3 linked regions of the Saccharomyces cerevisiae S288C genome follow. Changing the gene in region 3 together with the main gene of any one other region gives a genetic interaction. Each region holds a gene or a part of one and is shown on either strand. Other genes may lie near its edges.

The links.
Region 1: mutations in ESBP6 (region 3) and PIL1 together harm fitness less than expected from each alone (positive genetic interaction), as found in Saccharomyces cerevisiae (2 studies listed by BioGRID).
Region 2: mutations in ESBP6 (region 3) and CDC37 together harm fitness more than expected from each alone (negative genetic interaction), as found in Saccharomyces cerevisiae (2 studies listed by BioGRID).

What each region holds. Positions count from the first base shown.
Region 1 is NC_001139.9:649,098-652,423, forward strand, and holds PIL1 (lipid-binding protein PIL1), read right to left. Parts: upstream 1,521-3,326; coding exon 501-1,520; downstream 1-500. Other genes in the region: PDC6 (indolepyruvate decarboxylase 6), read right to left, coding at 2,193-3,326. UniProt on the Saccharomyces cerevisiae protein: Negative regulator of cell wall integrity (CWI) in unstressed cells, probably by inhibiting protein kinase PKH1/PHK2 activity and regulating their downstream CWI pathways PKC1-MAP kinase pathway and protein kinase YPK1 pathway.
Region 2 is NC_001136.10:788,498-792,348, reverse strand, and holds CDC37 (Hsp90 co-chaperone CDC37), read right to left. Parts: upstream 2,022-3,851; coding exon 501-2,021; downstream 1-500. Other genes in the region: STB3 (Stb3p), read left to right, coding at 1-1; TAF10 (Taf10p), read right to left, coding at 2,280-2,900; exocyst subunit SEC5, read left to right, coding at 3,128-3,851. UniProt on the Saccharomyces cerevisiae protein: Co-chaperone that binds to numerous kinases and promotes their interaction with the Hsp90 complex, resulting in stabilization and promotion of their activity.
Region 3 is NC_001146.8:388,877-395,189, forward strand, and holds ESBP6 (Esbp6p), read right to left. Parts: upstream 3,292-6,313; coding exon 1,270-3,291; downstream 1-1,269. Other genes in the region: SPC98 (Spc98p), read left to right, coding at 1-891; NAF1 (RNA-binding snoRNP assembly protein), read left to right, coding at 4,016-5,494; NMA111 (Nma111p), read left to right, coding at 5,809-6,313.

The sequences.
Region 1 (3,326 bases), on a different chromosome or scaffold from region 3:
GAAGGCGGTGAAAACAAAAAGAATATTAAAAAAAGTAATGTATGGGTTCTCGTTGTACGGATGTTTAAAATGTCCTGAAAAATACCAATTAGACGGTTCTGTGCTTGTTATATATAGATGTCTATACGACTCAACATATGTATGTTGCTGCATTTTAGAAAAAAATTAGGCATTAAACATTAGGCTACACAGGAAATAATGTTTCCTATCAAAAGAGTTCTAACTTGAATTGTTCCTTCACAATTAAAAAAAATAAAAGAGTACATATTTAGGAGGGGGAAGAGATATTGATAATAGACTAAAGTAAGGAGTGAGGAGAGGGCAAAATACAATAATAGATGAAAAAAAAAATAGGAAAATAAAACAATTTTTTCAGAGTGAGGGAACAGAAATGATTATCTGTCCACGCATTAATTAAAAGAGATTAATTAGTATGGTAACTTGTTCTTTTCTGCTGGTTTTTTTTTTTTTGTTTCTAATAGATTGTTGATTTATTTTGATTAAGCTGTTGTTTGTTGGGGAAGAGACTCACTTTGCTGGTGTCCGACTTGTTCATGTTCTTCAACAGCACCTTCTTCTTCTTGTTCAGGTTCTTCAATTTGTCCATCTTCTTGTTCGTCTTCGGACCACCTGCCTTGACCGTCTTCCTCTTCCTCTTCTTCGCCTTCTTCAGGTTCGAAGTCTTCGTAATCCTGCTTGAAACTTAAAGTAGGCTTGACTTGGGCAGAGTCTAGTGTCCATTCATTCAGTGCGCTTTCAGCATCAATAATGATTTGTTTAGAGGCTTCATACCCATCGTAAGCAGGCCTGGTTTCACCTGGAGTGACAGGAGAGTCGTCCAATAGTTCCAAGAGAGCCTTACCGTAACCAGCGATTAAAGCAATTTTCTCTGAATGTTCGATGATGGAGTCAAATTGGTAGTTGAAAGCAGCTCTCAACTTTGACCTTGTGATATTAGATAATTGAGCTTCAGCGACCAAAGATTCAGCCTCAGCACGCACCAATTCTTGTTCCAAGACCTCAATCTTAGGTGATTGAGGATCTTTGTATTTCAAGTAGGCGATTTTGTCGGTGATCTTGTCCTTACGGTCTCTAGATGGTTGAACAGAACCTTCGATATCTCTGATGGACTTTAGAGTCAATCTGTATTGGTCATAACGATCGATAAATTGGTCGTCTAATTCACTAACTTCATAGATCAAGACACCTAATTTATCAGTGATGTCGGAAACATCGTCATCGTTTTCCAACCCCCAAATAGACAATTGCTTAGCAGCGTCACGTCTTTCGTTGGCTGTCAATTCCATGGACCTCAAAACATTCTTTTCAATCTTAACCAATTGAGACAACTTTCTGGATAATTCTGGGCCAAAAGCTCCAGCAGCACTTCTCCTAAAGCTGTAAGCTAGACCACCCTTCCCAAAGAATCTACCTTTGGTTGTAGATGGTGGTGGCGGTGGGTTCTGTAATTGAGAGGCGGTAGGTGCCCTGGAATTTCTTAAAGAGTAAGTTCTGTGCATACTATATACTTGATGCTGATATATTCTTCACTTTGCAATACTGCTAACAATGGAAAAGTATAGGTAAATAAATGTGCAGATGCAGATGTGAGACAAATTTTCTTTCTTGGGTTGGGATAATCAACGCATTGTACCCAAACGACGGGAAACAAGGAAGGATGCAGAATGAGCACTTGTTATTTATAAAAAGACACGGGAGGGGGAATCCCGTCTTTCGTCCGTCGGAGCCAAAGAGATGAGCCAAAGCAGAAAAACAGGGGACGCCGCCCTTCTTCCGTCCCGTGCGTGAGGGGGGCGCGGCCATTCGGTTTTTGCAATATGACCTGTGGGCCAAAAATCGAAAAAAAAAAAAATAAGAGGCGGCTGCGGAATTTTATAAGACAAGCGCAGGGCCAAAGAAAAAATAATAATTGACGTGGCTGAACAACAGTCTCTCCCCACCCCTTTCCAAAAAGGGGAATGAAATACGAGTTCTTTTTCCCAATTGGTAAATATTCAACAAGAGACGCGCAGTACGTAACATGCGAATTGCGTAATTCACGGCGATAACGTAGTATTTAGATTTAGTATAATTTGAACCGATGTATTTATTTGTCTGATTGATTTATGTATTCAAACTGTGTAAGTTTATTTATTTGCAACAATAATTCGTTTGAGTACACTACTAATGGCTTATTGTTTGGCATTTGTAGCGGCAGTCAATTGCGCTTGTTTGATCAAACTTTCCGGAGCATCAAAGACGGGCAGTTTCAGTTCAATTAGTCTGATCACCGAGTTTTTCTGGAACTCTGAATCAGTGGTTAAGGCATCCCACTCACCCGTAGTGGCGATCTTGTGATTTTCGTACTTTTTCGCACCAAATGCGGGCAACAGGGCGAGGTGATCCCAGGTCTGGATTTCGTTGTACTCTGCGTGAGGCCCATGAATCAGCTTTTCGATAGTGTAGCCGTCGTTGTTAAGGACAAAAAGATACGGCTTTAACCCCCATCTGATCATGGTGGAGATTTCTTGGACGGTTAACTGCAAAGACCCGTCACCTATGAATAAGATGACTCTCTTGTTGGGGTCAATCTCCTCAGCGGCAAAGGCAGCACCTAAAGTTGCTCCTGTTGTAAAACCGATGGACCCCCACAACACCTGCGAGATACCGTAGGCGTCCTTAGGAAAGATAGTTTGATTGATACCGAAGGCAGACGTGCCGGTCTCGGAAATGATAACATCACCTTCTTGCAAGAATTTGGACAATTCGTTCCACAACCACTCTTGTTTCAAGGGCGTGCTAGCAGGTACACCTTTGTTTGCGGGAGTTTTGGTTGGTACGGGAACGCTCTTGTAGCCCTTAACAACATCGGGAATAACCTTCAGTAAGTTTTGTAGTGCAAATTTCATTTGTACACCGAGGAACGTAGCGTTCTTCACCTTTACGTAATCGGAATGAAACTCCACTACATTTTTAGTCTTGTAGGAGTAGGAAAACGAACCTGTGTTAAAATCAGAGAGCAAAGCACCGACCGAAAGGATCAAATCAGCCGACTCAACGGCCTGTTTCACGTCTTGTTTGGACAGCGTTCCCACATAAACACCGCCATATCTGGGATGCTGTTCATCTATTGACCCTTTACCTAGAGGTGTCACAAAAGCTGGGAATTGCGTCAAATCAATTAACTTCTGGGTTTCTTTTTTAACGTTGTGCCTAGAAGCACAGGCATCCGATAGTATAACAGGGTTTTTCGAATTCTGGATCAATTCTAGTACGGTATCAATAACTTCCTTTTCAGCTTCGGGATCGTTAGGTTTTAATGATAG
Region 2 (3,851 bases), on a different chromosome or scaffold from region 3:
AGAATTCTTTACCAGTTCCATGAAATAACAAAAAAACAGTAAAAAAAAAATGAAAATGAAAAAAGAATACATATTTTGTTTTAATGAAAGTTTGTTACCAAGTTTTGCTTTAAGTTTATCATCTCTGAATAATTATTTTGTCTTTTTTGTCACCACTTTTTTCTTGTCACATTTTTTTCTTCTTTTCATATTCATTTCATATATTAGCCCGTTCAATATATTTCAAAAGACCCAGTATTTTTCACATTTTACCCTTCCGATTCTTTGTGTAGTATATACAAATTACAAAAACACACACTGAGAAAAACATGCACTAATAAAAAATAAGATATTATGTACTAACGTAGGAAAGCAGGTACAAAACCTCTGCTGTAATTTCACGATTTTCTTTATTGATCATTAATTTTCTTCTTTTTTTTTTTTGTATTATGTATAAATGAAAATAACAATAAAAAAGGAAGTAGATGCACGCTGCACCAGTAAAATAGCTACATAAATTTCTAGTCAACAGTGTCGGCAGTATGTTTGACCTCTTCATGGTTATCTCCGCCACCATCACGGTCGTTTAAGGACAGATTCTCCATAGTGGCGTCTTCATGGTCCTGTTCGTATTGATCTTTCAAACTTTGAAAGTCTTTCTCGTTTTCTAAGATCGCTTTTATTCCAATAATGTCAATGTCATTAAACACTTCCAAAAGTTTCTCAGCCTCTTCAATTGGTATATCTTCAAAGACTTTATTAATATTATCCAAATTTTTGGTCATTATGGCTTCTTGCATTTTTTCCGGTATTAAAGTTTTGAAAACTTTAACCTTTTTCATCTCTTCTGGATCTTTAGAATTGAAGTCTGGCAAGTTTACTTCTAATTCTGTAGAATCATCTAGAGATTTCAATTGAATCGTCTCTACTCCTTCAGCATTCGATTCATCCATTTCCTCTTGTTGTAAAATTTTGGAACGTTTTTGAATGTGCAAAAATTTTTCTTGAACTGATCTCAAAAAAGACTCTTTACCCATTGGCTTGTCCTTGTTGAAGATAACCTTCTCGAAAAACATATTAATGACATTTGATAGTTCCATTGGATTTAAATATGGAATTTTCTTCATGTCGTAGATTTCCTTAATGTAGGCCATCAATTCGGATTGATGAATGACTTGCAAAGTCATCTTATCGTCACCATGTAACTGATACTCAAAGGCCTTCATCATTAAGGCGTCCTTTTGTTGTTCTGAAATAATAGGTAAGTGCTCCAGTAAGAATTTCTGAGATTTTGAGTACTCATTAATGGATATTTTACCGAATTCTTCAGTTTCCTTGGCCAGTTTCATAGGATCATCTTTAAAATCGATGAAAGTTTGCGGAACTGATGATTTTGCTAGTTTATTAAGAATATTAGACTCTGCAGCGCTCGAAAGAGCTTCTGAAGGAGTTGCTTCCAGTGGCTTAGCCCCCCCCTTTTGCTTGTTCATAAAGCTACTATCAAAGCCTGTATGAATGTCTTCAGATGAAATGTGTGCATTTTTCTCCTTGTATAATTCATCTAATTTCTTCTTAGCCTCTACAGTTACTGAATCGATCTTAGCCCTATGTTTCAAAATAGCATCCCTTATGAGAGATGGGCTCTTCGAGTCTTTGCCCTCTTTGTCTAAATCTTTTGCTAATTGTTCAAAAAGATCTTCAACCATTTCATTGTATGTTGCAATCTCAGGATCAACATTTTCCCCTTTACTTTTCTCCATCTTATCAAAATTTGCATTCAAGAATTTGGTAACGGCTGGCAAATCAGTAAGAGAACTTTCAGGTAAATTACTCAAAATTCTGTCCACTCGTTTGTTCAAATGAGAATACATATCCACTTGTGTCTCCAAATTTTTGATATCTTGGTTCCTTTTGAATCGCTGTTCATGGATACTCTGTTGTTTCCATTTAATGAACGATTTCTTGTCCACATTAGGATGCACCTCGACATCAGAATCATCTGATAGTTCAATTTTATCCCACTTAGAGTAATCAATGGCCATTTTTGACTTATGTAGTTGTTCCGTAGTACGATAGCTCGATAGTTTTTTTATCGTGATGAAGTGTTGGTGCAACGGAGGTGTTCTCTTATGTGGCAATCTTTCATGATCCTTCAGTAAAAAATCGTGAAAAACGGATGTTCAAAAAGCGTGTCAAATTTGCGTGAATAAGTGCTCTAATCAATCTAATAACGAATCGTGTATTTAAAAGAGTTGCATACTGCTACACTATATACATATTTCATTTCCATTTGTTAGCCACTAACGATAAAAGTCTGGGCGACCTATATTGAGCCCGTATTCAGCAACAGCGCTACTGAGATCGTTCACCGTCAGAACAACTTTGCTTGCTGTAGTCTTCTCATTCTGTTGATGTTGTTGTTGTGAAATCTGCTGCACGCCAGGCTGTTGCTGTCCTTGCAATAGCTGCCTAGCTCTCGCCTGACTGTTGTTAGCATTAGATACCGCTACGGAAGACCTGATCCTGGAATATTCGTAGGCATCCTTAGCTATATCACTAACAAATTTCTGAGTAGCAAGTGCTAAAAGTCGTTTCACTCGTACATCTGCTACGTTAAACCCGTTTTTGGTTAAATAGTAGTCTATTACTGCATCGGGAATGATAGGAGGAGTACTGTCCATCATCTCTAGAATCTCCTCCAGAGTCTTATCTTTTCTTGTAAATTCGGGTATACCAAATGCATTTTCACTCCCATCATCCACTACAGCCTCTCTCTTTTGCTTCTTCTTCATGTTTTCTGCGACAGAGTCATCATTATCATTGTCCCCATCATCGGCTCCCGCAACCGATGGAAAAGGTGTTTCTAATTGTCCTTCTTGATTATCATCAAACTCCGCATCGTAATCTTCCTCAAAATCCATAGTTTCAGTTATTCTTTCCTCTGTTCTTCGCTGCCAGTTCTTTTTAGCTTAGGCATGAATGCTGAATCTGCAGCTTCTTTAATTTTTCGTTTCTGTTTTCAACTTGAAAAAACAAAAGTATCAACTCCTACTATTCAACTAAAGTAACAAAAATAAGCTGCGTTAAAGCTGCTAAACTAGGAAAGAAGTTTCTGTTGAAATAAAGTAGCGAAAAAAAGTTTGGTACCATGGATAGGTTTCAAATTGGCGACGAGCAACTACTTCGTTTTTATCAGTTGAAGACTATTAATCCGACCCATTCCTGGGCCCAAGATTCCTCAAAATTGAATAATGAAGAGGCTACAAGCAATGAACTTGGCGTTGAAACGTCATTCGACATATTAAAAGACTTCAAATATGGCAATCAAATTAGCATTGACAAGGAATCGAGAGCATATTTAAACGATGAGTCGTTAAGTTATATTAGAGATCCCTTGAATGGACAAGAAATGTCTAAAGAATTGCAACATCTACCAAATGATTCAATGCGGTTGAACTATCTTGTCAACAGTAAACAATTCAACGTCAAAGCCTTTCTGAGAGATATGCACAAACAAGACTCTTTCAATGATCTAAATAACTCACTGGACAGGTTGGACAGTGATATACAAGACCAATCTATACATTTGAAACAATTGGTTGGTAAAAATTTCACCAAGTATGTTAAGATTAAAAACAAGTTAGACCAAATTTACAAAGAATTTGACGAGAAAACGAATGAAAAAAACCAATGTGATTCACCAAAAGAAAATCAAATAAATGTGGAAAGCTTAAATAAAAAGGTCGACGAGGTTATTAGAACAACAACTTTCAAACTGAAACCGCTAATGGATAACTATCAGAAAATTTTGAATTACCAGGCCACCAAAAAATTTATTGAATTGAATAAGTTTTACTTCAACCTACCCAAAT
Region 3 (6,313 bases):
GGATCCGTGGGTTGGGATGTTTTTACTTTAGATTACATCCTCTACCCCCCTTTGAGTTTAGTATTAAACGTAAATCGTCCTTTTGGCAGGAAAGAGTATCTACGAATTTTCAATTTTTTATGGAGATTTAAAAAGAACAATTATTTCTATCAAAAGGAAATGTTGAAGAGTAATGATATAATCAGATCATTCAAGAAAATCAGAGGTTACAACCCGCTCATCCGTGATATTATCAATAAACTTTCTAGAATCAGTATACTTAGAACTCAATTCCAGCAATTCAACTCGAAGATGGAATCTTATTATTTGAACTGCATTATAGAGGAAAATTTTAAAGAAATGACCCGGAAACTGCAACGCACAGAGAATAAAAGCCAAAACCAATTCGACTTAATTAGATTAAATAATGGCACCATAGAATTAAATGGGATTTTAACCCCAAAAGCTGAAGTACTAACAAAGTCTTCAAGCAGTAAACCCCAAAAACACGCAATCGAAAAGACGCTGAATATTGATGAATTAGAAAGTGTACATAACACGTTCTTGACGAATATTCTTTCTCATAAGCTTTTTGCAACTAACACAAGTGAAATAAGCGTTGGTGATTATTCTGGGCAACCATACCCAACTTCATTGGTTTTACTTTTAAATTCGGTTTACGAGTTCGTCAAAGTTTATTGTAATTTGAACGACATTGGATACGAAATCTTCATTAAAATGAATCTCAATGATCACGAAGCATCTAACGGATTATTGGGAAAATTTAATACGAATTTAAAGGAAATTGTTAGCCAGTATAAAAATTTTAAAGACAGACTGTATATTTTTAGGGCAGATTTAAAGAACGATGGCGATGAAGAGCTTTTCTTATTGAGCAAATCGCTCCGTTAAGAAATGATCCCGTCCCGTTTTTCATTTATAATAAATTTCCTCCACGCAGGTTTAATGTATAAGTTGTAATGGTAGCAAATGATTTACAGATTTATTTGCAAGTAAAGAGACTCTTTTTTCGTTTTGTTTTTCCTGGATCCGCAACACAAAGTGTATTACATATGGATACATGGAATATCTTTACAGTGCTAAATATATTAGGTTAAAAAAAGGTCGTTTTCTGTAAAGAATGCTTTTTCAGCGTTAACTTTACGTCTTTTTGATAATAAAGAAATTTAATTAGGTGAAGCGGAGATATTGAATATTATGTACTAATGATATGATGAGTAGGCGACGTAACTATCGCGTATATAACATGAATCAGGTCGTCGAAAAGAACTAGACCTTCATTGGATATACCATTCTTAGGAAGTATTTTTTAATGCCCGGACCTAAAAGAAGGTCATATTTAGTCTTTCTTTCTTTTAATTTACCCCAATCTTCATCGGCAGAATCGGTATCGTATTCGCTTGCCTTCCATTCTTTTAACTTCTCGTTTGTCATAGCTTGTCTTTCCGTTAATTTCATCCTGATAGAATATTCACGAAGGATAGAAATTAAAATTAGTGCGGCAATAAAGCAGCAACCGCAAAAAATTTGTGCATGTAAGTAAGGATTGCTCTTATCTTTCTCCACCGTCAATGCCTGGGCAATCACCTCACAAACCAATAAGAAAGGCGCACCACAGTAGTTGACGAAGGCCCAAGCGGGCAAAAACTCTTCTGGTTTAACCATATCGGCAATCAGAACGGTATTCATGACGTTGGCGACACCAACGCATGAGCCAACTAGAATTGAAAAAAAGATGAGTTGAACAAACGTATGAGCGGGGATCCAGAACGCAAACATATATATTGTTAACAAAGTGGTTAATACGATCGTTACGTTTGCCCTACCAAACTTATCTCCCGCTAAACCCATCAGAGGTCTTCCGATGGATTGCGAGCCGTTCAAAATGGCAGTCAATGTGGAAGCGTCGTGCGATGATAATCCTTTCGAGATTGCGTATGAAGATAAAGTAAAAACCATCATATTGTAGGCAAATAATGCGAACATGAACCATAATGCAATAAGTACCACAAATGGCTTAGTTATAACCTTTAATGAAAACATTGCTTTGAGCTGTTCAAACATGGCCCGAGGCGATTTCAATCCTATGGCAGGTGTAGGGTTTCTTTCTTTTAAGAGCGCAATAGCAACTAGAACACTTATGCTACACGATATGCCTATGATACGAAGGCACCACCGGGTATTTCCAAAGTCAGAAAGCATTTTGTTTGTAGCCAAACCGTAAACGACACCACCAGCACCGGTACCCAATAATGAGACACCCATTGCGACAGCTCTTTTTTTCAAGAACCATCCTGGTAAGACGGTTGTTGCTGGAACGAAAATCAGTGATATTGAACAACCGACCATAAAACCTTGGGTGACATACAATTGCCATAACTTGGTAGTAAAGGAGGCCAAGAGATATGCGGCAAGCATTACAGCATCACCAAAAAGCATGGTGGTCCGCAGACCAATTATTCTCATCAGTGCCATCACAAGGGGGGATAAGAGTTGACCGAGAAAGACAGTTAGGCCAGCAATTAAGGCATAATCGTACTTCGAAGCACCAGGGTAAGTATCATGGTTTAAGTAGTAGGCAAGGTCGACACCGAAGGATGCGTTGCAGCCCCACGTGGAAAACATGGTCAAGAACACACAGAATGTCACGACCCAGCCATAACCACCGTCGGGGGGCAGTTCCAGCTGCCCGGTAGACTTGTTGGTGAATACTTTTTTTACAGTCGGTTCATCAGGCTCGAATTCGGTTATTCCTTGGGCCTCAAGATCCTTACCGGAGTGTTTCGTGGAAGCCGGATATAGTCTATTCCTCATGAGTTTGGAGTCCATGGAAGCTTTATGTTCTGTAGTATCATTTTGAATAGAAGAAGCAGAGAAAGCAGAGGAAGATGGTGCCGACAACGAGGCGCCTGCAGTCGTGGTGTGTGTGACTGGGATGTTTAACTTTGACTGGACTGACTCATTGTGCTGTAGCCTAATGGCATCGGCCACGTCAAATCTAGATTCTAATATTTTATTAACGTCTGCGGAATTTTCTTCCGTCTGCAAGTTGTCGTCATCGACAGCCTTTTTAATGTCGTTGAGCCGATTAGTTAACGTCCTACTAATAGACAATTTTCTCGATGCATCGTTCGACTTGGTGCTGTGTAGATCAGAGCATGGAACCGGAGCAGCAATAGAAGCCTTAGAGAATGATACAGGCTGTGAAGAGTTTATCGAAGAAACCTCGGACGATGTCTCAGAGACCATTCCGGAAGAAGCAGAAAAGTAGTCGTTTGAGTGCGTTGACATTTTTCAGATTTATTTTCAGAAGCCCCGTAATTATACCTAAAGAAAAAGTAAAGAAAAGTGGAGAAAACAAAAGAAAAAGATAAAACTTTTAAATATGTGGTGTGACAAATGCAAAATACTATTCTGACTCGCACATTTAACTAACAAAAGAAAATTTGTCTAAGTCTAGCAGCTTTGGTAGAATATAGAAGAAACAGTCTAGTTTTGGCTCCGATATGAGTGGACAAAGCATCAAGATCTAAGGAATGCCAAGTATTTATCCAGGTTCTCCCGAAGACTTTTCTTCAATAGCGGCGGGGGTTTTTTTTTTTTGCAGATTGCCGAGATAGCCCGCGGCAAAGATACGTTATCTCGGTTATCGTCGGCAAGCGCTATTGTAACTAGATATAGGAAACTGTGGTCTGCAAAGATGCGGTATAAGGCCTCCGTCTGTTCTTACTGCGTTATCAGCCTTTGACAGTTTTAGTTCGTCAGGGTCTTTGACCAAATGATAAATTCCCTGGTTTACATTTTCACTAGTTTGTTCTCGAGCAATGCTTAGTTGGCACATAAATGAGTCAGGCACTACCACTCGGGTAACGGTCTGCGCGTTTCTTTTTGCGGCCATGAAATTTTTCAGGCGATGAGCTTAAAGGTAAAGGAAAAAGATGGTAGGATGATAGGTAGGATGAAGCGGTATGAAAGTGGAAGAAGCACAATATAGCACGTCGAAACAGTGCTAATCATGAGCGATGACTTGTTTTCTAAGGCTTTGGAGAATCCCGACCAGGACTTGAACGTGGAATTGCCCAAGGATGATGTTGATTTAGGTCTTTTAGGTGATGGTGGGAACGAGAGGAAGACCGATGAACCGGTAGCAGACGCAGAAAGATCAACAGGCCTAGGATCCGGCTCTTCTGAATCCGAATCAGATTCCGGTTCTGATTCTGATTCTGATTCTGGCTCTTCAGGTAGTGAGGATGATTCTGCAGATCAGGACGTTGAAGGAGAGGACGAAGGTGGTGACGCGATTGAAAATGAAGACGAAGACGAAGACCCTTCACCTTCCGGTCCTATACTATCGAAGAACGAAATACTAGAGGAAACTGTTCCTGAACTACCGGAAGATTATGAAATTTCAGAAAAAACGATCATCACTCCTATTGGTGTTTTGAAGTCTGCATTTGAAAATAATATAATCATTCACGCCACGATGTCGGGCGAAAAGCGTGTTTTAAAAGAGGGTTCCATTTTCTGTCTCGAGGATAGAACTTTGATCGGGATGTTGACGGAGGTGTTTGGACCCTTGCAAAACCCATTTTATAGAATTAAGTTGCCCGATTCAAAAAAAAACTTATTCGATGAATTAAAAGTGCGTTTGGGTGAGAAAGCCTTTATAGTCACCCCTGATGCCCACTGGATAGATACTTTCGAGTTAAAGCGCAACAAAGGTACTGATGCGTCTAATGGGTACGATGAAGAATTACCTGAAGAGGAACAAGAATTTTCCGACGACGAAAAAGAGGCCCTTTTCAAGAAAATGAAGAAACAGCAACGGCAACGAAAGAAAAGGGACAACCGCAAACTAGCCAACGATAGTGACAATGTCAAGGTAAAGAGAGCTCGGCAGCCCAAGGCCAACAGTTTACCTAAACTGGTACCGCCGTTGGGCATGAGCAGTAATGCTCCGATGCAACATGGGTACAAATCAAGAAACGCACGTGAAAATATCAAGCGTGAATCCAGTGCTACCTCTAATCGGAATGGCTCCTCCCCAGTGCCAATCACACAGCACCACCAACAACAGTTTTCTGCAAATAATTATCCCTTCCCTCAACAACCAAACGGTATGCCTTATCCACCATACTCACCTTTCCCTCAGCCGACTAACTTCCAGTATCCACCTCCACCATTTGGGCAGGCGACACCGGCCCAATTCTCCAACACTGTTCCATATGGTAGCTTACCTCCCGCATACAACAATATGTCGCCGCCAACACAGCAGTCGTTCATGCCAATGACCCAAAGTCAACCGCCACTTCCATATGGCGTACCTCCCATGAATCAAATGCAAAACCCAATGTACATCCAACCGCCACCTCAAGCACCTCCTCAGGGAAATGGTAATTTCCAACAAGTAATGGAATTACATCAAATACTTTTGCAGCAACAGCAACAGCAACACCAGTATCAGCATCAGCATCAGCAAGATCCAAGAACCTAGAGTCACGATTGAAATATTTAATAATAAATGCTATGTATCATAGATAAACTAGAAAGAGGCAAGAAAAATTTAACAAGTTTCTTAATTGAATATTATTTTACTGTCACTACCATTATTAGACGCCATCTCAGCGTGTGACATGATAATTTTTCTTTTTTTCTTTTTTTTTCCTCAAGGCGATGATATGAAACTTTCAAAAAATTTATATGTAAATAAAAAAGTTCTACGAGGGTTTAAATACGGAAGTTTATTTAGAAGATATTTATACTCTGAATACACACGTAGAGTACAGTAAAGGTTTTTTAGATCTACTAATGACCATATCGTTGAGCAATATAAAGAAAAGAGACCATTCTAAAATTTCCGATGGAACTTCTGGTGAATCATCGCTTGTAAAAAGGAAACAGTTGGAAAGCGCCACCGGAGATCAAGAGGAAGAATATACAGACCATGAAATCATTATAGAGCCGTTGCACTTTGCTAATAATAATAACACTGTACTCACAGATTCAGAAAATTATCTAAGATGGCAAAATACCATCTCCAACGTTGTTAAATCAGTGGTTTCCATTCATTTTTCACAAGTTGCGCCATTCGATTGCGATTCTGCTTTGGTATCTGAAGCTACCGGATTTGTCGTGGATGCTAAATTAGGTATAATTCTGACCAATAGGCACGTCGTTGGTCCTGGTCCGTTCGTAGGCTACGTAGTTTTCGATAATCATGAAGAATGCGATGTTATACCAATTTACAGAGATCCTGTTCATGATTTTGGGTTCCTCAAATTCGATCCGAAAAACATAAAATATTCTAAGATCA